Linked DNA regions of Struthio camelus. The protein of the gene in region 3 interacts with the protein of the main gene of each other region in a pairwise test. Links are inferred from orthologs where the notes say so. Each region holds a gene or a part of one and is shown on either strand. Other genes may lie near its edges.

Region 1 (6,991 bases), on a different chromosome or scaffold from region 3:
TGCTCTGTAGCTGGAAGCCATAGCAAAAGCCATAGCAAAACGTGAAGAAACATATGCCATCTAGAACATTTAATGTATTAGATTTATTAGTTGCTATAAATGGTTTCAGCACTACAGATTCCATAAGAGCTCACACATCCTCGTATACCATCATCAAGGTGACAATGGCTTGCAGCGCCTGGATTTACTCTACAGTCACTATACAATACTGTTCTTTGAGTGACAGAAAGAGACCACTTGATGTGAAACTGTTACTGAATTACTTTGACAGTTGTCTCTCCTAATACATAGGACATTCATAGGATGATGGCTGAACTTAAAAACCTTTTTTTTTTTTTTTAATATTTGAGTAATTGGAGAACAAGGACAGTTCAATTTGGCAATAGCTATTATAGGACTTAGATAAAGTAAAAGGCAGATCTTCACTAAGAAGAAAAGGCAAGCACTGTGAACAGTTGGCTTGGTGAGAAAACTGAAATATAAACATTGTGAAAGGGACATACGTGTCATGTTTATCAGACTAAATGAACTAGATGAACTAAAAATAGCTGCTAAATAGAACAAAAAATAAAACTGAAATGCAGAGGTCTGTTTTTTTCCCCCCCAAAATAAAATTCAGGGAAAGGAACTGCACTTATTAATTACCATATGCCACGATTAAAATTCCTCCAACAGCCTCTACTGTTAAACTCTGCCTTCCAGTGTCAAGCCTGCAACAAAGATGCTTCATAAAATCATCAGCTTTAACACCTCATCAGCGCCAGACATGAGCAGCTGTCCTGCTGATCACTAAGGTCTAAAGGCTAATGTTATCATCTGGGTCAAATCCTTCCAAGTGCCCCTCCCAACAAAATGCAGGTTTTTCTATTCTGGATAAGCTCAACAAATTAAGAGTGACTTGACCCATCAGGGATTTCTTGAGCTTTCAACTAGCCATGAATTCACCAATTATGCTGTCTTAATCTTATCCACATTCCCCAAAGATGAACTAAAAAACTGTTGTCCCAAGGACTAGGAAGGTGGCCTGCATTTTTTCCTTTATGCTGATGCCACATAAAATATTTTAAAACTTTCACCATACTGCAATACTGCAACAATTTATAGTGAAAGGAAAAGAGTCCACAACTTCTCTGATGACAGAGGAGTTCAAAACCAAAAATTTTGATTTAAATGAATAGTTGGATGTACGAAAAAAGATTGCAATATTCCATTTTCATCCAAAACTTTTAAAAAAAGATTATAATATTGCTACTTTAATTTGGGTACAGTGCCACCACTTCACAATCAAGAATTAGCTTTACAGTTCCTTTATGCTCTCAGTCTCATACTTAAGCACAGTGCCCTGACACAAACAGTAAGCACTTTTATTTACTTGCATCAGTTTGAGATTAGGGTGCTCCCTTTTCTCTGAATCTCAGCATGTGCTTTTACAGCAGCAAGGCAGACAGGGTCAAAGAAAAAACAGGAACGCTGTCCAACCCCGTTTGTGTGTTACACCCTCACACCCATGAGGCGGTCAGACTCAAGACCAAGGGAGAAAGACCAGGCGAGGAGCCAGGAGGAACACGGCTGAGAAAGCTAGGATGGAGGAAAATGAAGACCTAGGAGAGAACAGAGCAAAGCGAACAGGCAACCTCATTTTGTCCCTCTGGATCCAAAGAATGAGCAAGGGCTCACCACCGTTCCTGACAAGACAACACGGCAACAGCATGTAAAATGGGCCGGAAAGAGCCTCCCTCTCTCCACCACAGAGACAGGTTGGAGTTGGGATCTGCAGCAGTCAGAACTGGGGATCCCATGACTCATCCTTGCAGCCCCATGATATTAGGGCAAGTCATCTAACTTTCAAACACACTGTACCTCTGGCAGCTGGGGCACAGAGCCAGATAAAACTCTCCTTGACTCTTGTATGACACAGGTTGAACTGTCACTCTCCATGCCTCTTATACACTTACAGGTTGGACAACTACCAAAAGAGCTTATGGCACTTCACAGGTCAGTATGGTGAGAATCACGAGAGCAGCAACCCAGTTCCGGGGTGCTACCAACCTAACCTGCCTCTGTGGCGCTCCGATGGTCCCTCCAAGGACTCAGCCTGTCTGCCTGATGCTGGCAAGGTTTCTGCCACAAGGGCTGATGGGAGATGGTGACAGGCTAGGACAGGCACCTTCCCAGCCATCCTTAACACGGATTATCAGGGGACACAGAGGGATGGGGCAGAACCAAACCCTGAGCACCACACTCTGGCACCTGCTGATGGCCCATGAAGCACAGCACCAGGCCCCACCGGTGAAGTCGCAGGAGTTGGTTTGGGGCTCACACTTGAAACACAGCACCGTGACACCTTCGCATCTTGGTCCCCACGTGTAAGACGAGGACGATGGGGAGCTCTTCCCTAACTCGACCACAGGAGAGGGCGGACCACCGGGGCCTTTAAAACACGGCAATCCTCCGAGGTAGGAGTGCTCCCTGCTCCCCAGGGGACCGCAGCGGCCGGGAGGGCTCCGCCGCAGCCACCTCGGCGCCCCCCAACCCCACGCTGGCCCGCGGCCTCTCACCTACCCACAGCAAGCGCGGGTGGGTTAAAACATGACAGTTAGCCAGAAAACTACACGCGAGGGGTGCTGCCCGGCAGGCAGGGAGGGAAAAATCCCACTGCTGGCTGCCGCATGCCGGGACACAAAGCCTGCGAGGAAACACCCGCTCCCCGGGGCCGCCGCGGGGCGCGCTCGGCGGAGGGCGCCGACAACAAGTGCAGCGGGCGGGCGGCCGGGCGGGCGGGAGCAGCTGCGGCCGCGGGGCAGGAGCCGCTCCGCCACCGCGGGGAGGTGGAAGGGGGGGGGGTGCGGCCGCCGGTCACCCCGCGACTCACTCACCCGCCCGTCTCGGCTCCCGAGTCCACGCACTCATCCTCGCCGCCGGGCTTCTTGTCCATGGTGGAGGCGTCAGAGCTCCATGGCCGCCGGAGCTGCTCGTCCCGCTGCGCCGTGTGCGGGCGGCGGCGGAGAGAACCGCTCCGCCGCGCGCACGCCCCGCTGAGGGGAGGGGCGGGGCGGGGCGGGGCGGGGCGGGGCAGGGCGGCGGCGCGCGCGCCCCCTCCCCCAGCCGTTAACGGCCGCGCGCGCGCCCCCCCTCTTCAGCCGTTAACGGCCGCGCGGAGCACTGAGGCGGGGGGGGAGGGGGAGGGAGCGCCTGCATCATGGGGCTCGGTGCTCCCCCCACCCCAAAATACCCCAATCTCGCCGGCAAAATACCTCGGGGCACCCTTGTTGCGCTCGCACGTGCTGAGGGATCGTCCTATTCCAGCCCTCACGTGTTAGAAACTCCTCATGCATCATCATGCCTGCGTTAGCAAGCACTGCCGCAGCCTCCTTATATCGCTGCTATTCTTCCAGTAGAGAGAAGGGCTAAGAGGTGTGGTGCCTGTATCTGTTGGAAGTTAAAGGCACCTGTCTCTTTGCTATCCATCTTCTTTTCATTTTTGGGGTAGGTGCTATCCCTGTCTTCTCTTTGAAGTCTTAGGCTGTGCTGAGCTTTCTCTTGCCCCCTGAGTGTCACCTGGCACGCACTCGTTATATTAAATATCATTATTTTGAAATGATGTGCAAAAACGGACAGGGAATGGTTTCCTAGCCCTGTGAGAATTTCTGTAATAATGAAGGAAAAACCACTTTGCTCTGAGGCTTCCAGGGGAGAAATACTGATGTAGCAAGACTTACCACTAGTGGGGCAGTTGCATTCAAAGAGGTTGAACTATAAGCAGGAAATGGGCTCCTGTATTCTGCACATCTCCTGCCCACCAGCCTTGTTTTGTATTTGAACACTTCTCCTTTTCTCAGTCACTCACATTTGGTGTAAATATTCACCAACACAGGGATGTGAACCTAGATCGCACTCAGCCAAAACGTCAGTCATTTGTTAGTCTGTTTGGTTGTTCAGGCCCGAACAGATCATAAGGGAAGGGGGCAGAACTGATTTGTCTCCAACCTGAAACAAATCATGCGTCTCCTGAATCAGGGTCAAGCATAAAGCTAAAAGTCAGTACTCCTGTGCTCCCTGCAATTGAGATGTTATGGGACGACTTAAAAAAAAAAAAAAAGAAGATGATGACTCCACCTTGGAAACTAGGAAACCTTTTCCATTAATGTTGTATGGAAAATTTCACCTTTGAGGAACTGGAATTTTCTCTCAAAAAATCACCAATGACTGCCTAATTTCTGTCAGCTGCAGGAGACAGCCACTTCCAGATCACAAGCAAAAAAAAATTAAAAAATAAGTATTTTGTTCCACCTTTTTTTATTTGTACCTCACAGGGAAGAAGGAAAATGATGAAAATCTCAGTATTTGAAACATAAAATACCAGACTGGACCAGACTGTAGAAATGCACTGTACAAGACAATCTTACATTGTCAAAAGAATTGCTGAGCTAGTTTAGTTGTCTACATAGTCTGACATCGATGTCCTTCATTTGAATACTGTCAGTAGTAGAGTGAGCCATGTGTAGGCATGCGCTAACACAATTTAATAGTAACAACTAACATCGTTTAGCAGGCTCAAGCTGTGTGTACTTCGTGCCACTGATGTCTCTAGTGGTGTATGGCATTGGCTCTCTAAAATAATCTATATGTAGCTAGGAACATTGTAAAATCAAACAGAAAGAGTGACTTGGAAACAACACCAAAGGTCTTTTTAGCACACTGTAGGAGCAATGAACATGCATCAACGCCGGAAATGCTCATAACGAAACTGCTAAGTCGATAAAGCAGTGAATTCCTGTTGTCCCACCACGGAAGGGACACTGAACTCATGTGCAGCCCTGGGACCTGTGGGTATCACAGATCAGTCCACTATGTATCCCCAGTGATATTTAGAAGAAACTTTCTAGTTCCTGTATCTATTCATCAAGTACTGGAAAAAAATCCTAGTGGTGTATGGGGACCTTAGTGTTTAAAATGTTTTGACTATCTGCCTTGATTTGCACACATGTCATTTTAAAAACAATATAGATGATTTTTCAGTTTATGTGGAGGGCTTAACATAAATAATATCCCAATAAAAATAATGCGCTAGGTATGGAAGAAGCCCCCTTAACTGGAGTCCCTCTTCCCTCTTTCCTCTAGCAAGTTACTAAATGCTAGTTTGGGCAAAATGCTATAAAAGGTTCTTGATACACATCAGTTCTATACTGGCATATGTATAATAGTTCCAAAAATACAAAAACAAACTCTTCCATCCTTCCTGACTGGTAGACTATACCATCTAAAGCAATTTCCTTATATGTGCAAAATTAAATGTGTGTAATTTTTTTTAGGGTTGGGACCAAGGCGCTGTGCCAGGCTGTGAGAATAACTGTGGCAGAATCTGGTCCTCAACTTCTTAGTATTGGAATCACCACATTCAGGTAAAAGGCCTTAACATGTTTTCAGACATTGTGTATTAAGTGATTTGCCCAAGGCAACACCATGGCAAAATTGAGACAAGAATTCAGTATATCTCGCTTCCCAGTTCGGGCTCCTGTTCTGAAACAGCTAAAGATTTCCTCTCTAACGACTGTAATGACTATGGAGGACACTGAACGTCCCAAAGGACATATTCAGTATTCTGTAGTACCAGCACTGCACAGACCCTGCTGTCTCTCTGATTCTTAGTCTACACACACAAATTTATTTAATCAGTACAACTCTATTTAAAAGCAGGTCATTCCCACTCACTTTTAAGTGTAATCTCAAAGTCAAATAAATTGAGTTTAGCCACTGTTGATGTGATTTAAGATGTAACCAAACCTTCTTAAATATTTAGAAATAGATTTAGTTAAAATGATACATTTCTGCATGTAAAATTTTAGGTGGTCAGCTAATACATCTTTTCTGTCTCTGACTTTTATTATCCTAGTTAGTTATGTTTAAGCACTGGCATATGAGAGGATCTGGAATAGATTTTATGCTGCATTTAGGATTAATTTACTCCATCTGTCCAAGGGAGGGAAAAAAGAAACATTCTAAAGAAAATATATAATTAAGACAGTAAGTAAAGCTACCACAAACTCTAGACTCTCTTATTTATATATTTGCCTCATTTAACTCAGTTTTATTCTGGTCTTTCACGTAATTATGGTGAAAAGAAGTCTTCTCTGCAATAAATTCTCGGCATTTCAGAGATTCTAATGAATGAGGTGTTATGTCCTTGCTTTTACTTAGCATTTCTCTGTTATCATTTCTTCACATTAGCTCTTCTGTATGGTCTGTTGAAAAAAGAAGTTACGTTTTATTTACTCTCTTGTATTTATGAGTCTGTGATACCAGTTTCAAGGTAAGGATAATAGTGAAAATATTCTTGGGTTAAATTTCCCCAAATTTCAAGCCTTTCATTAAGCAGCATTTAATAGCAGTGGTCACAAAGGCTGTCAGACATAAAAGTATCAGGAGAAATCTTCAAAGAAGCCAAAAAAATAAACCACTCTCTTATCAAAAAGTAATGGAACTAACACTGAGGACATGAAATTAATGCCTGTTCTGCAGAGAGTTCTCTTGCTGTTAGTTGTGTAGGACCAGATCTAAAATATAACTTAACTTAAAGGAGGATGTAAAGAAAATTTAAATGCCTGAGTTCGAATCTGTGATTCCACACTGTGGCTGATTAGGAGATGCCTAACCTTCAAAGGCAACTTACATTTTTAATTTAAAATTTTCAATATCCCTAATGCTATATGTCTAGAATTTACAAGGCTAACCAGTTTACCTCATACCAGAGCTGAGCAGTACCTAATTGCAACCACCAGCTGCTGAGACCTCCATCCTTGCAGAAGCAAATGCAGGCAGTAAAACCTCCTCCCACCTCCCTCACATAATGATCTTAGTCTTTAGTAACTGAGAACACAGTGCGGAAAAGTGATAGCTGCAGCCTTGAAGGGGGATAAAGACATCACGAAGAGCTGCGTGGATGAACCCATGTCAGATCATACGTGTGCTGAAGGATAAGAGGAAGCAAAAG
Region 2 (7,021 bases), on a different chromosome or scaffold from region 3:
TTTCCTTAATATCACATATGCCATTTTGTTCACCAAATACATATTTTAAAGTATACCAGAGTTCCGCCTGGCTGGTTGCATGGTGGCTATCTGACTGAGCTCTGCTCCTTGACTTCTTGGCCTTCTGGAAGAAAGCCTGCTGGGGGTGGAAGAGAGAAAAAATGAGGTCAGTAAGAAGTAGGATGAAGAAAATTAATGTTTGCCAGTTAGCAGAGCTCATGGGAACATAGATATCTACGAATGGTAGAGTGCTTTTTACACAAAACAAGGAAAAGAATTTTTGAAAATGATAATGGGAAAAGTAGTTAGGAGGGATTAGTTGCAATTTAAATGCAGGCGGCGTATCTAATAACTTCTGGACCGTGAGATCTGTTTAGGCAGTTAGGAGTGTTTCACAGCCTAATGTAATATTGGGTGTACTTGTGCAGTAAGTAAATCATGTGTGGCAAAGGTTTGTTATGTGACTTGCAAAGATAATTTCCTGTGAGGTAAAGGATCTACCATCTTTCAAATCTTAAATTTCTACCTCATTCAATATTGGATAAAAATTTGAGCATTAACCTTTAGTAAGCCCTAAGAAATACGTAGGTGGCTTTCACTGTTATGTTGGAAAGACTGATCATGTGGCTTCGCACTCACTTGCATTTCTTTCACTTTGTGAAGAAGCTCTCTTGCTGTTGAGCTATGAAACATGCAGGGGTACTTGAAGAGCAGTAATAAAATGGACTGTGTAGATAGGGAAAAAAGGAAAGGAGAGATGCATGTATTGTTTTCTCTTGTGCCACGAAGAGTCCTTGGCTGTATTCATTTTAAAGTTCTGTACTTTGGAGATAACATCTTAAAAGGGACCCTGGAAGCAGCTGCCAGTTGAATTAATGTAACACTAGTTTCTGCTGGACCCAGTGAGGGGAAACAGATGGACAAAGGCCTTAGGGTCTGAATCACTTAGGAAGTACTACTGTCCCCTTGGTTCTCCCGCCCCTGTGGTCCCCACTGTGGGGAATGGAGAATGTCAGCTTCTTGCGATGGCAAGATTAGGGAGAAGTCTCTGCTCTAAGAACCTTGCAGACATTTCCTGTCCCATGGCTCCCTTTGGCTCTCCTTTCCATACAAGGACTAGGTCCAATAACTTAGGCACATACTTAACCTGATAAAATCATATTACTGGAGTTTTGTCTTAAACTGATTAGTTCAAAGAAAAACCCAGAATGAACAGAACCTAGCAATGAAGCAGAACGTAATTTTTGTAAACTTATACACAACTCCTCCGTCGATTTACTTTCAAGGGGAGGTAATGCTACTTGTGACCTAATTTTCTTTAAGTTCTTCTTAGTGCTAAATAAAAACAAAAATGGAAAACAAGGACTCTTCTCCCAAAACCAAGTCATTTAGAAAAGTTTGATTCATGCAGTATTAACTCCCAATTGCCCAAAAGAAGTGGAATCCAGAAATTTTAAGGCTGTTTAAGGGACGCTGTCCTTAAAAGAAAATCTCATCTTTTTTTTTTGCCTGGGTATATTAGTTGAAGATGTACGTGAAGTTCTGGCCTTCAGTATTTCTAAAACTTTATATCCTTTGCTTGCTTGCTGATTGTCTTCAATATAAGATTCAACCTAGAATTCTTGTAAAAAGAAAAAAAGTTGTAAGTTGCTCCTCAGTTGGCTTTACTGCAAGATAGTTAAACCTAAACACTGATCAGTAACAGAATGGAAATTATGTAAATAATACTAAAACAAGATAAAGCTGACTGATACTCTTTCACTGCAAAAACATTGTTTGCAGATACAATTGCAATCTTTTAGTAAGTCCTAAACTCGCATTTAACTATGTTAAAATAGTTATTGACTGTGTGTAAAATCAGTGTTCAACTGATTTTTCTTTTAATGGATAAGAAAAAAATCTAAAGCTGAGATCAAAATGAATTCTACGGGAGTCACGTACAACTGCCAGAAAACATTATTTGTGAAACTCTGTGGGAATTAGTTATCAGATTTCTTTAAACTCTGAAATAAAGATACATAACCAAATGCCTTCCTGTTGGAGTTGGTCTTATTGGTAATGGACATAGTATCACCCCCCTCCCCTTTATTTATTTATTTATTTATTTGGTCTCAGCAGAGACTCATACCGTAATTAGACATCAGTAGGGGTATTCTCTTGATTGCTCCGAATTAGATCAGGCTGGACATATATCAGAACGTTTTCTGAAGCTTAAATTTGACTCACCCAGTGTTGTATTTATTTTATAAGTAAAGAAAGAACTCTAGTTTTTCCAGCGTTGTCCAATACTTCCTGCTTGTCATAACTTTTCTCTTGTCTCGTTTAACCATGTTAACGTTAAGTTTTATGTGTTCCTGAGCTATCGGGAAAATAGGAAGTAGAAAAGCAGGTTCTTTCCTGTAGTGCATCTTTGTAAAGTAAGTAACTCCCTTGTGGGTGTTACAAGGCCTGTGGGCTTTGTAAAGACTATGCCCAAACAGAAGTTTGTTAGAAGATGGGGACATTTGCTGTATTCTTCTTGCACTTTTGTTAGTTTCCTTCTTTGTGTTCTTCTGTACTTTTTAGATTTGTATTTTCCGATATTTTTTAGGGTGTAAGACAAGACCAAAAAAATTAAATGGATTAAGTTAAGCTAAAAAGTCAAATATTAGAAAGTTTTATGTTGAAAATATTATTGTGACAAAATTATTCAAATTTATCTCTTGGCTCTGAGGTTGCAACTTGGAAGAGTTCAGTTGTCTAGAAATATCATTTAAATTGCTCGGGGGATAATTGCAATACTTCTCAGGATGAAAGCTGAAAGCTGAGACACTTTGAATTCACATACTAGTTACACATGCTTTGCATGCCCCAGTAGTATTGTTCTGTATCTTGTAAATAGGAACACCACTTAATTTGTCTTCCAGGTTCTGCCTTGTACAGTTGTATGGATTTTAATGTAGAACTTGGATCGTTAGCGTTATCACAGAGCGTATTTTATATTAGGCCTGGAGCTATAACCATGTGTTTTAGTAAACTATGATTGAAGCAGTTTCTTAATATCTTGCAAACTTAGGCATTAAATTAATATGAGAAACCAACTTAGTATTGTAAAAATTAGATGCAGTAGAAAGCTGTTGTTATTTTATCCGTGTTGCAGACAATAGCGTCTCACAATTTCCTTGTAGTATCTTTTGTTATATAGGGCAAGAATGTAAATGAGTCAACTGTAACTGTGCATTTTTTTCCTTTTCCAGTGGATGTTTCTATTATACAAAATTTTTGAACCCCCAGTGTAGAGTCTAAAAGGTTTTCTGTTAAGACATTCTGAATCTGATTTTCAGTGTTTTAAAATTTTTTGAGATAGCCCAATGTATGCCAGCAAATGATGTTTATGCATTTTAAATATTATAACAGTGGTTTGTGTTTGAAAAGCTTATCATATGGTACAAAGCATAGGAAAACACCCTGTTTTGCTGACATTTTATTTGAATGAAATAACAACTTAGTGTTTCTTAAGTAACTCAGAGTTACAAAAGCTAACTGAAAATGCTCCGTGAATTTCATATGCTTTCACACCTATATAAAGGGAGTATAAAAAGCCTCCCTTTCTAACATTTTACACCCGCTTTGCAGGACAACAGAGAGTCACAAAAAGGACTTCAAAATTCTTCAGTTCAGCTGTGTTCATAATGAGTATGTAACTCCCATTGCTGACAGATGAGTTGCTTGACTTTGCTGGAGGCAGTATGAGGTCAAGAAATCTTACTAAAATGCCTTCTTAACTGTTTATTTCTGCTCTTTATATATGTATATGTGTATATATGTGTGTATGTATATATGTGTGTGTGTATGTATATATCTGTATATATGCACATACACACACATGTATTTGAGATATCTATGTATATTTTGCTATGATTTGACAGAGCATTTGAGGTCAGCTGTCAAACTAGCAGTGGAGATGGAGTAAGGCACCTTTATTCTAAGCTTTTGCTAACACAATGCTCAGCTGTGACTCAGAGATGGTAAGTTAACTGATTATACTTAGCTTTCTCTACTATGGTAAAATGAGTTGCAGAGGGAACAGTCTGAAAGCCAAGGGCCTCTGAATAGTTTTCCCTTTTATGGAATAGAGCTCCTAGATCACCATTTCCTGGAGATTGTATTCTAAGCCTACACAGTGGTAAAAGAAGGTTCTCTGCATTCACTGATCTATATCTGACTACAAATTTGAGCTCAGGAGATCTTTTCTTTTTTTCCTAACTATTTTAAGCAGTAAGATTACAATAACAGACCAAAACACTGAAAAGCACTATGTGTGCTCTCCTGCGTTTTTTTTTTTTTTCCAACTCATTTTGTTAGGTGCAAAAGGCTCTCGCAGACTAAGGTTCTAGATCTTCACCCACATCCATTCCTGCGGTAGTTGAGTTAGAAAACTCTGCAAGTATTTAATTTTAAGTGGTAATTTTGAAGCTCTTGCAATCTTGAAAGGACTGAAATTGTGTTGGGATCACAGTAATGTCATGACAGACTTCTGTAGGATGGAAGTAGGTCAGACAGAGTTTGATCAATGCCTAACACAAATGAAGAGAAAATCTTGTAATTGGTGTAGTAACTAGGCCACTAAGATATTCTCATGCACTTTGGCCGTTTCTAAAGTGCAGATATATTTTCTTATCTACCCTTTCAGTATCTTCAGGGACAGTAATTCCAGTTGTTTCAGTTGGTATCTTGCTGTATTATATCATTTTCTTCTTTGACTGAAACGTGGTTATGCTTGTGGAAAGGAGATAAAGCTGGCAAAGCTAATTGCAGCATGATTTCAAAGGCTGCTCAGCTGGCAGGAGAACCAGGCTATAACCGGGATAATTATGTTCTCTACACTTTGGTGCAGAGTTCAATAAGCTTGTAAGCTGTTTTTGTAGAGAGGTGTGGAACAGGGTTCAAAGCTGTACTACTTCTTCCTAATGCTCTACTGAGGGTGAAAGAAATCATATAGCTCATGAATTAAGCTATTTTCTTATGTATTTTGATAAAATACTGGTAATTAGTAGCCCTTGCTTGCTTTGATGTCCCAGCAGACTGCAGCAGTGTGGTCAAGAGTATGCAAACATTGCACTTTTTTCAGAACGTGAATAATCAACAGCAATCAATCAGCAGCAAGCTTTTGCTGCTCCGGTAGAGCCCTCAACACTGAGTTTTGGGGGAGAAATATTAGGAACAAAAGGAAGGTCAAAAGAAGGCATTTTCCTTCTAATCAGCACCACAAAGTTTAAGAACTATTTCCTGTTTGTAAGATAGCTCTGTGAGGAAGTTGGAGTAAGGTCCTAATTGTGTCAGAGACTGGCTGAACTCAGTCCACTCCAAATCTGGGTGTTGCTAAGGTGGCCTAAGGTCATCCCCCTACCCTCCATTCCCGCTTGGCTGTACTTTCTGTGCTACATCTCTAAGACAACACAGCTCAGGATTTGTCCTTTTCTATTCTTAGATAAGCCTATTTTGTGTGTGCGTGTCTGGGGGTTTTGTTTTGTTTTGTTCTTTTAAAATTTTTGTTTTGCTTTTTCAATCTGAAAAAGGAACTGAACCTTGATATGCTTAATGGCTCGCTCTTGTTTCAATGTGATTTGCATTACTTTAAGTTTAGTGTGTATTAGGGAGCCCACTAACACAGGGAATCGACTAGGACACATTAGCCTGTACCGCTCTATATAGGACTCCACAAATACGCTTTGGACATGGCTTGGAACATTCCTGATTTTTTCAGGCCCAGTGTTCTGTTGAGTTGAGCCTATCAGAATCATTATAACTTCATAAAGCAATCACTAACGGGTTACATAAACATCCAAATTTGTATCTTCTCTTTTGCTTTGTTTTTGTTTGAATTTATTATGTTCTTGCAAAGTCAGAAATTGCTTCAGATGCCAGGATTCGGTTAGAGATGAAAAGCAAATCCATGTCACTTTCTGAGTTACCTTGGCTGTGTCTCATCTTCATGTGATTTTAATAGTTGGTGACTGTTGCTTCATACAAAAATACTTAACTGTTGAAACACGTAGAGGTTTAATGTTACTGTTATCTGCCTAATCTCTGTGGGTTGATTAAAATACATATACTCATAAATGTCTGTTCTGCATCATATTAGGAATTTAAAAAACATTTTGCCCTAATAAACATTTCAAAATCTTGTTTTTATTTATGGAATACTTCCTCTACTTTTACTTGCAGTCAGAAATGGGTACAATCATGATACAAATATGAGCTTCCACTTACTTCAGCAGAGCTAAAATTTCACCTTAATGTGTTCAATATGCGTACAAAAACTTGAAACATGGGATCTACCTACAATGATTAGCACATCCTGCTTCTGAAAAAAGTTATGTTCACTGTGGAAAAAGTGAAATCCTTATCTTGGTCTTCATAATCAGATAATTTCTTTTGTACCTTTTCTATTGTCCTTACTAAAGAACTTCAGTGGAATTATTATTGTTTTTAAACACACTAACACTTGTGTATAGATGTCATTGTGACACTCTGTTAATTCTGCATTAAATTTCATATGAGGAGACCTTATTTCTGACTCTTCTAGCAAAAGAGAAATGTATAAACTGTAACGTGAAATAAATCTAATGAAAGTGTTGGTCTTAGCTGCTTCCGTAGGCCAAAATTTTGCAGATCCTGTAGGTTTTATAAGTTCTGTGAAAGCTTTGGCGAGGAACCTGTCACTACTGAGGCTGCTTCAGTATCCATGTGACTTTTAAAATCAATCCCAGCGTTATGACAATTTTAGTCATCAGCCTGGATAAACAAGCATGTTCCTGAATAAATTTCCCTACCCTTTCCTGAAATGGAAGGCAGAACTTTAGAAGATCATTCTTACAACTCTGTCGAAGGCCTTGAACTTTAAATTACTTCCTGATCCCCACCTTTTTTGCCCCATCTGTCTTGATTTCCAGAAAAAGAAAACAATAGAGAGGAGATTAGTAATTCCGATCTGGGAGAAGATAATGTGTTCTGGATATTGAACATGTACTTCTTGGAT
Region 3 (7,923 bases):
GTAACGTCTCATCATTTTGCCTTGCGTGACACAAGCATTCATTTCGGTGTTATTATGTATGCCTCTAATGTGATATAAAAAGCTAAGCATATTACCAATTACAGTGCAGCACACTATTATTTTTTTTCTTGTCTCTGCAGTGAGCATTTTTTGTCAGTTAATAGATCTTGGGGTATTTTTCTCATACACTGTCTACTCAGAATGATCCTTATACTGGGAGGATTTCCTAGGGCAGGCTGGAACAGTTGCCTGTTCTTCACAAGAGCTACTTCTCAGTGTTTCTTAGTGATAATGGAGGAAAAAAAAAAGGAATCTACATGCTAAAGAAAAACCTCGAGATAATCCAGCTGAGACGTTGATTCGACTTCACTTGGGAATCAGTGGGGTTTAAGAGACAGCACACACCACACAAGTGTATCTCCAGCCCTCCGAGGGGGAAGAATAAATGGGTCTTGATTCTCATTTTTAATTGATTCTACATTCATCAATGCTGTGTGCAGGGAGAGGCTCGAGAAAGGCCCAAAATGAGGAATGTCCAATGTCACGAGCTAATAGGGCTTCGTTGTCAGAGAGAAATGGGACTGAAGCACTCCCCAGATACTGCTGATTCCTGCTCCTTGGTCTCGGTGAGGCGGCTCTGCGATGCTGTAGTTCTAGCTTCATCGGTATCCTTGGGAGCTGAATTATTCCCCAGCTGCCCTTTGAGGACATAAGATAAGTTTGTCTCAGCTGGGAGCCGCCAAGGAAAAGTCGGATGTGTTGGTGTTTCAGTAGGTGGCACTCCTTCCTCTGTGTCGGCATGAGTTTTGGGCCGGTGGTGGAGGTAGCATCCCACAGTTGAGACGCGGTGGCTTTCACAGACGAACTGCAAATCAAGTGGGTTATGGCATGCTTTTTGCAAGAGTTCAGCTTATGTGCGTGCTACCTTTCAGTATGTCTTTCTGTATTTTTAGTCGGCCTCACATCGTAAAGGTGTTACTCTGAGTAAGCATATAGGCAACGTACTCTGCTTTGCAAGTGTCTCTGTTCCCAGCAGCGGCTAAAGTCACGTGGGTGCTATACCTGCCAATTCTTCCCGAATCCGCACAAAGCTAAGACAAGCAGGGAAATCCGCTGCAAAAGCCAAACAGTTCAACTTTTGCTTTCTGCTGCAGGCCGGTCTGCTCCTGTAGACATTTTGGGGAAGGCGTAAGGAATGGATTGCAATGAATTAGGCAGGGAAAAAAAAAAAAAAAAGGCACGTCCAGGAGGAGGGAAATGTTTATGTATGTACTCCGTCATGCACCCCTAGCTTCTCCTTCCTTGCTGTCCTGGCTGGCTCTGGCAACGTGACGTTTGCCTGTCAGCGATCCAGCTTCATACCTGAGTTTTGATTGGCGAGCTCCGCGCGATGTTTTCGGAATAGGGAGCCTTCAAACATGTTTTGAGCGTCGAAGATGGCAGCTGAGTGGGTGCGTTTGGTGACAGATGATCCTTGAAAGGTTTAGAAGCCAAGCTATTAAAACCCAGAAGCTGTGCGCGGAGGAAATATTGTGAGTGTATCAGAACCTGTGCGGGCAGAGGAGAAGAAGAAACACTGATGTTTCGTGGGGAAGCCCGTGATTGCCAGTAGCAAGCAAGCCCCGGCGGTGTTTTGGGGTAGAGCTCAAGCCCTCTGTAGGATTTTTTTTTGTTTGGTTTGGTTTGGTTTTTCCAGTCTGCTGCTTACTGACATCGGGGCCGGGTGAGACACAGTATTGCAGTGGTCCGATCAGAAAGAGGCTTTGGGACCTGGAGGAAGTTTGGCTGCTGGCTCCCGTAACAAACTACAAGCCGGCTTCGTGTTGTCGTCCCCGGACCAAGGCCCTTCGTTGCGTTCCTGCCACGCGTCCATGTAAAGCTTTTTTCTTTCCGTACGCTCGATTGAGAAGACAAAGCAGCTGCTCTGAAAACCCGAGTGTTTTGCTGGGAACTTTAAGTTGAAAAGAACGGGATCAGAGGATTTATTTTGATCGGACTGGGGCAGCGGGATCTCCGTGCTGCTGAGACTGCAAGGCGGCCGATACCCCGAAAGCCCTGAAGCGTGAGCCGCACGGGCAGCTGCGGTCCCCCAACCCCACTCGTCTGCTGGTTTCTTCGGAAGAGCAGTAAACAACCAAAACCAGGCAGCCGTCTGCAGCCTTCACAGGACAGGGCTCTGCTGACAGGTTGTAGACCTTTCGGCTTCCTTGGTCTCATCTTGAAGGCTGGCCTTGGATTTACGGCTGCTCACCACAAATCTCCGACTGTCACGTAAAATCTCTCTTTGGCTCTCGGAGGTCTTATGAGACCAGGAGAATGGGCTTTCCACCTGTAAATAAATATTTTCTTTAGCTATCATTAGCCGAGTTCCCGGCCAGTTTTATTTCCCGTAAAGCCAGCGGCAGCAATCTCAGGGATACACTAAAGAGCAGATATGCGAGTTTCTATAACCACTGTGGAGAAATACTTGTAAGAGAGCATCCTAAGCATACGATGCCTCATCAAACACGTCAGCCCTGACAGCCTACGCCTCTGTCAAGCAGCATTTGTGATGTTTTTCTCCGAGTCCTTTCTGATGTTACTGTTGTCTCAGTCCCAGGCTGCGCACCTCTAATAGAAACTAAGTAATACGGCTTTGCTGCCTTAAAATGGAAATGTTCAGAGGATATTTAGTACTTTTGCTCCTAGTGAGTTATGTAAGATGTAAATGGAGGAAATATATAGCACCCCCCACCCAAAAAAAAAAAAAAGTCTGAACTTAAAGCGCGTTGTCAGCCCATGGAAAAGACCACTGAACTTTGAGTTTGTGCCTACCAAATGCATCAAGAAGACTTAAAACTGAAGCATTTTACATAAGCCAAATCTGTTTTTTCACGTGCCCCTTGAAAAATGCAGGAGGTACCAAACACATTGCAGAACCTGCAAAGTCTCATGCAAGATTTATTAGAAGAATCCAGGCCCTTGCAGACAACCGCTTTGAATAGGGGAGTAGTTGTAATTCCTCATCTGTTCGTTGTTTTTTTTTTTTTTTTAATTTTATAAAGACCATCTGCAGGTTGAAAGCTGGAACTCTGGACTCAGCCGAGCGCCAGTGTGTAACAGGAGAAAAACAAAAGCAAAACCCATAAACGCTGTCTCTCATTTCCAACTAATGCCCAAGTTGGAGGTCTGGACAGCCCTGCCAATGGCAGATACAAATGTGCAGCTACCACCCACCTCCAAAAAAAAATGTATCCATCACTACATCCTCCCCAAATCCAACTCCCAGAAAGGGAACGGGAACAGCTGCTTCTGGCGCCTTGGAAACATCCAAGCATGCTGCTCTGGCGGCTGAGCACTGCAAAAGCTCTTGGGGGCACCTACATCTGGCTGGGCGGGGGGGGGGGGGGATTTCTACCCCATCTCCTCCAAACCATACAGTCTTCTCGGGAGACCAAACCCAGCCATACTTTTTGCCCACAGATCCCTCTCTGCGTCCAAGGGGGCCAAGTCCGGGAGCTGTATCTGTCACAGCATACATCATCGTCCTTTTTCTGTGCTAGCAAAAGGCAGGCAAGAAAAAGAAAACAGAGCCATTTGGCACCGAAGGCTCGGCTGATCCGGCTCATTTGTTTTGTTTTGTTATTTTTGTGCCGCAAACCCATAAACAGTATTGCATAGGTAGACCCAAAGTGCCACCGTGGCTTAGCACGTGGAAAGTCCTGGAGCGCGATGCACCGTGCTCGCATTCCTGGAAAATCCTGACGTGTCTGGTGCAGCAGAATCTACTTTACACCTCCATATAGGTATTGGGGCTACACAGAAAGTGCACCCATATTTTAATGTGCTTTTTTAGTGCTATGGGACCCATAAGCACTGCCTCCAGATTTTTTCCAGCGAAGACATACTTGACCGATATTTACCTTAAGACCTGAGGGATTGGAGCCCAAAGCTCAGGCTGAGCAGGAGCCATGCCGTTGCCCGGTGCTGGCTCGTGCTTTCTGTTACAGAAGACAGTGAAAACGGGCTGTAAAGAAATCCTAAGCACGCGATAAGGTGGGCAGGTTCTGTAGGAACAAGTAGCACTTTTGGTTCAAGGAGACGGTGGGACGGGAGAAGAGCAGGGCACAGCCCCGACAGCGGGGCGCGGGATGCTTGGGAGCGCGAGGGGCGATTTTTGCAGCCTTCTCCCAGTGTGGGGACGGGTTCGCCGCCCTCCAGCCGGCGCAGCGTGGGAGCGGAGGGTTTGCAAACGCTGCCCTTGGCCCAGGCCCCTGGCCCCGGGACCTCTGCAGCCGGCTCCTGCTCGCAGCCGAGGGGAGCTTGTGGGCGCCCACGGGGCTGCCCGTGAGCCTCCCCCCCCCCCCCCGCTCCCCGGGGGTTTCAGAGGGAGAAGCCCGGCCGGAGCCCCTAGCAGTGCCGCGGGGAGCCCCCGGCCGGGGGGCGCGCAGCCGCGGGCGGGGAGCGGAGGGCCGCGGGTTCGCGCCCCGCTCGCCCCCCTCGGGGGTGGTGGGGGGGGAGCCGGGCCGTGCGGGGCGTTGGGAGCCGGCGGCCGCCTTTTGGGGAGGGAGGGGGAAAGGAGGGAGCGGCGGCGCGGCGAAAGTGCATGTGCATCCTTGCAGACGCCCCTTCCTCCGTGCCTTCCCTCCCTCCTCCTCCTCCTCCGTGTGTGTGTGGTGTGTGTGTAATGTGTGTGTGTGTGTGTGTGCGTCTCGCTCCCTCTCCAGTCTAGCCTGACGCAGGCAGATCGAAATCACCCCTGAGGAGCCGGGCTGCGGAGCGCGGTGCGGCGGGGGTCCGGCTGCCCCGGGGCGGAGCGGGCCCGGGGCCGGAGGCAGCGCCCCGGCGGCGGCGGCGGCGGCGGGGAAGTTGGCCCAAGTGCGGGGAGGCAGCCGGCGGGGGGGGGGGGGGAAAGTTGCCGGGAGAGGCGAGGGGCGAGCCGGGCAGCGGCGGCAGCGGCCAGGAGCATGGGCACTTTGCGGGATTTACAGTACGCGCTGCAGGAGAAGATCGAGGAGCTGCGGCAGCGGGATGCGCTCATCGACGAGCTGGAGCTGGAGTTGGACCAGAAGGACGAACTGATCCAGAAGCTGCAGAACGAGCTGGACAAGTACCGCTCCGTGATCCGGCCCGCCACGCAGCAGGCGCAGCAGCAAAGCGCCGGCACCTTGCAGGGGGAGCAGAGGACCAAGAGGCAGGCGATTTCAGCCGAGCCCACCGCCTTCGACATCCAGGACCTCAGCCACGTCACCCTGCCCTTCTACCCCAAGAGCCCACAGTAAGCGGCGGGTCGCAGCCCTGCGGGAGCGAGAGCCCCTCTGCCTCTGGGGAGCGGAGCGCCGGCAGAGCCGCTCGGGCGGGCGCTGCCCCCCCCCCCCCGCGGCGTGCGGCATGCCGGAGGGCAGACCCCCCCCTCCCCAAAACCAACCCCTTCCCCTTCCTGGGCAGCCGCATTGCTGCTGCCTTCCCCCCCCCCACCCCGCCCCAACCAAGAGAGTTTTTTTTTGGGGGGGGGGGGGGCAAGTTGTTGCTGCGTTCCCGAGGGTGGGAAAGTTGCGAGGTGTGAGTTGGGGGTGTGTTTGGCTGGTGGGATGTGGGGGGGGGGTCGGGCCAAGCTCGCGAGTGGGTGCTGAGGTGGAGGGGACAACCGCCCCCCCCCCCCGCACCCCAAATCCCCTTCCTTCCCTCGGCGACAAGTTTGCGTCGAGGCAGGCGGGCACCTCGGAGAGTTTTTGGTCGGGGAGGTGGGGGGGGGGGAGGAGGTTGGTTGGGACCGGAGCTTCTGGACTTCGGGAAGGGAAGGGAGGAAGGCGGCGGCCGCCGGGGAGCCTCCCCCGTCCCGTCAAAGGCGAGCGAGGGGGCGGAAAGTCGCGGCCGGGCGGTTGTCCCCCCCCCCCCCCAGTTGAAATCCCTCGCTCGACGTAGTCGCAGGCTGGAAGAGAGGGGCCTCGTCAAGCCCAAACCCGCCTGCTGTTTAGGGCTGGCCGGTTTTTGTGTGTCCCCCCACCCCCTGCTGGGGAACAGGAGGGAAGGAGCCTGCTCGGCTCGGAAAGGGTCCTTCAGAGGAGGGTCCTTCGGTCTGTCCTCCTCGTGTGTCCCTCTGGGGAGCGGGTCGGTGTATGGGACTATATGGGTTTTTTTTTTTCCTTTTTTTTTTTTTTAAATGATATAGTGGCAGGAGTAGCCCAAAAGGGAGGGGGGGGGTTGGTTCGTCAAGAGCCGGCGATGGCGGCTCAATGGCAGGTGCAGGCGGCCTTTGGCTTCGCCCAGGTGCGGCCGAGGCGGAGCGCGCCGCCGCCGCCGCCTCCTCGCCTCAGGCAGGTGCGCGGGCCGCGGCCTGGCCCAACCGCCATGGCGGGTCCCCGCCGTCTCCTAGCAACGGCCGCCTGCTCCTGGGCGGGGGGAGGGGGAGATGGCGGCGGCCTGGCCTGGCCTGGCCTGGCCTGGCCTGGCCTCGCCTCGCCCTCCCCCCCCCCCCAGCCCGAGCTTTCGCCACAGATATTTTGCCCTTTTAAGGCGAATCGCCGCTGCGTTGAGTTTAATAAAGAGCGGCGGGGAGTAGAGGAGCGGGACCCGAGAAGGAGGGGGAAGCGCTTCGCTGGGGGGGGAACGGACGGACGGACGGACGGACGGACGGACGGACGGACAGCCCCCCCGGTGCCCTCTGCGCAGGCAGGGACGCGTGGTCGGGCTGTGTGTGAAGGAGCCTTCAGCAGCTGTGGGCGATGTCCTGTGATGTTTCGGGGCGGGGGGGGACAGCGACACGGCTCAGAGGTGGCAGTTCTTGCGCCTGAGCTGCTAGATGGAGCCGCCGGCTCTCCCCTGGCCTACCGAGACCCTTCGGCTGTAGGCGGACCGAGTCCTGAATCTCTGCTGCCTACCGGAAAACGTACAGGAAACCTGTCAAAGCCTTGAATTAACTTCCCCCCCCCACCCCCCGGCTTCAATCTAACCTCTCATTCCTCAAGTTCCTCCGTTCAGTTTTACTTAGGGATAAGGCAGGCCACTTGCCTGAAGCGGCGTTCAGTATTGACCTCCCGTGGTCGGCGGTACCCATGACATTGTTTTCAGCTCCCGTAACTGCTTTGTGCCGTGATCACTGAGGGAAAAAGGTGACTCGTTTCGCTGCGACAAGTCATGAGGCTGTGCTGGAGCGCAATAGTCCCCTCTTCTCCAGAGCGTTCGCTGCCTTCTGAGATGAGCCGCGTGATGGTGATGAGGAGCGCCCACGCCTGCAGGTGGATGGACGCCCACCGGGCTAGCGCCACGTCTTCTGGACGTAAACTGTCCTCTCAGGTGCTTACCGCAACCTGTAAGTCAGGGCGCTGACGAGCACTTGTAATTTGCGTGTCCAAACGTAACCTGGATTAGCCGGATTTAGCGGTGCGGCAACTGGGAGAGGAAGCACAGGTCGGCTTAAATTGTCGGGATCATGACTGCCCTAAATCATGCCTTTTCCTGTACTTCTCCGCACGAGCCCCAAATATGGCTTATATAGTGCTCCTGTGTGCTTGCAAGGAACCTCTTGTCTTGATTATATTAAAAACGTGGCACAAAGTCTTTAGGCTATTTTGATGTTGTATATAACCATTTATGGCAGCAATAGAGGAAAAGGCAGAGAGGCTCTGGAAGCGTGGGTATATACTCAAAATAAGTTTCAGAGCATACAAGGCTTTATTTGCTGTTGCAGGGCTGGGCCGCTATAATTTTCCCTATAAATTTATCTTGCTGATGTGAAACTGGACTTTGGGCTCGCGTGAGTTTATACCTAAAATATACAGAGGGACACATCTTGCCATTTTCTTCGGGGTTAAAAGACCAGTGAGAGAAGTCAGATATTTGCCTCTACATGAGTCTTTGTATTTGAGTGACTAGGAAGAAGTTGCCTAAAATAAGAGTTGTTCTCCCCACCCTTCCCTACCCCCAGTGGAAATAACTTGCAAG

What was found.
Region 1: the proteins of PRKG1 (region 3) and FAM124A interact in binary tests that used the Homo sapiens proteins (3 or more experiments, as listed by UniProt). The two-hybrid records come from large-scale screens. The link is inferred for Struthio camelus from reciprocal best matches to the Homo sapiens genes PRKG1 and FAM124A.
Region 2: the proteins of PRKG1 (region 3) and IRAG1 interact in a two-hybrid assay, tested with the Homo sapiens proteins (2 studies listed by BioGRID). The link is inferred for Struthio camelus from reciprocal best matches to the Homo sapiens genes PRKG1 and IRAG1.

Annotation. Positions count from the first base shown.
Region 1 is NC_090942.1:193,537,290-193,544,280, reverse strand, and holds the start of FAM124A (protein FAM124A), read right to left. Parts: upstream 3,044-6,991; 5' UTR 2,936-3,043; coding exon 2,877-2,935; intron 658-2,876; exon of another isoform or gene 646-657; intron 1-645.
Region 2 is NC_090946.1:24,140,774-24,147,794, reverse strand, and holds the start of IRAG1 (inositol 1,4,5-triphosphate receptor associated 1), read left to right. Parts: upstream 1-3,968; 5' UTR 3,969-3,983; coding exon 3,984-4,007; intron 4,008-7,021.
Region 3 is NC_090948.1:42,921,907-42,929,829, reverse strand, and holds the start of PRKG1 (cGMP-dependent protein kinase 1), read left to right. Parts: upstream 1-4,882; 5' UTR 4,883-4,946; coding exon 4,947-5,257; intron 5,258-5,524; exon of another isoform or gene 5,525-5,539; intron 5,540-7,923. UniProt on the Homo sapiens protein: Serine/threonine protein kinase that acts as a key mediator of the nitric oxide (NO)/cGMP signaling pathway. GMP binding activates PRKG1, which phosphorylates serines and threonines on many cellular proteins.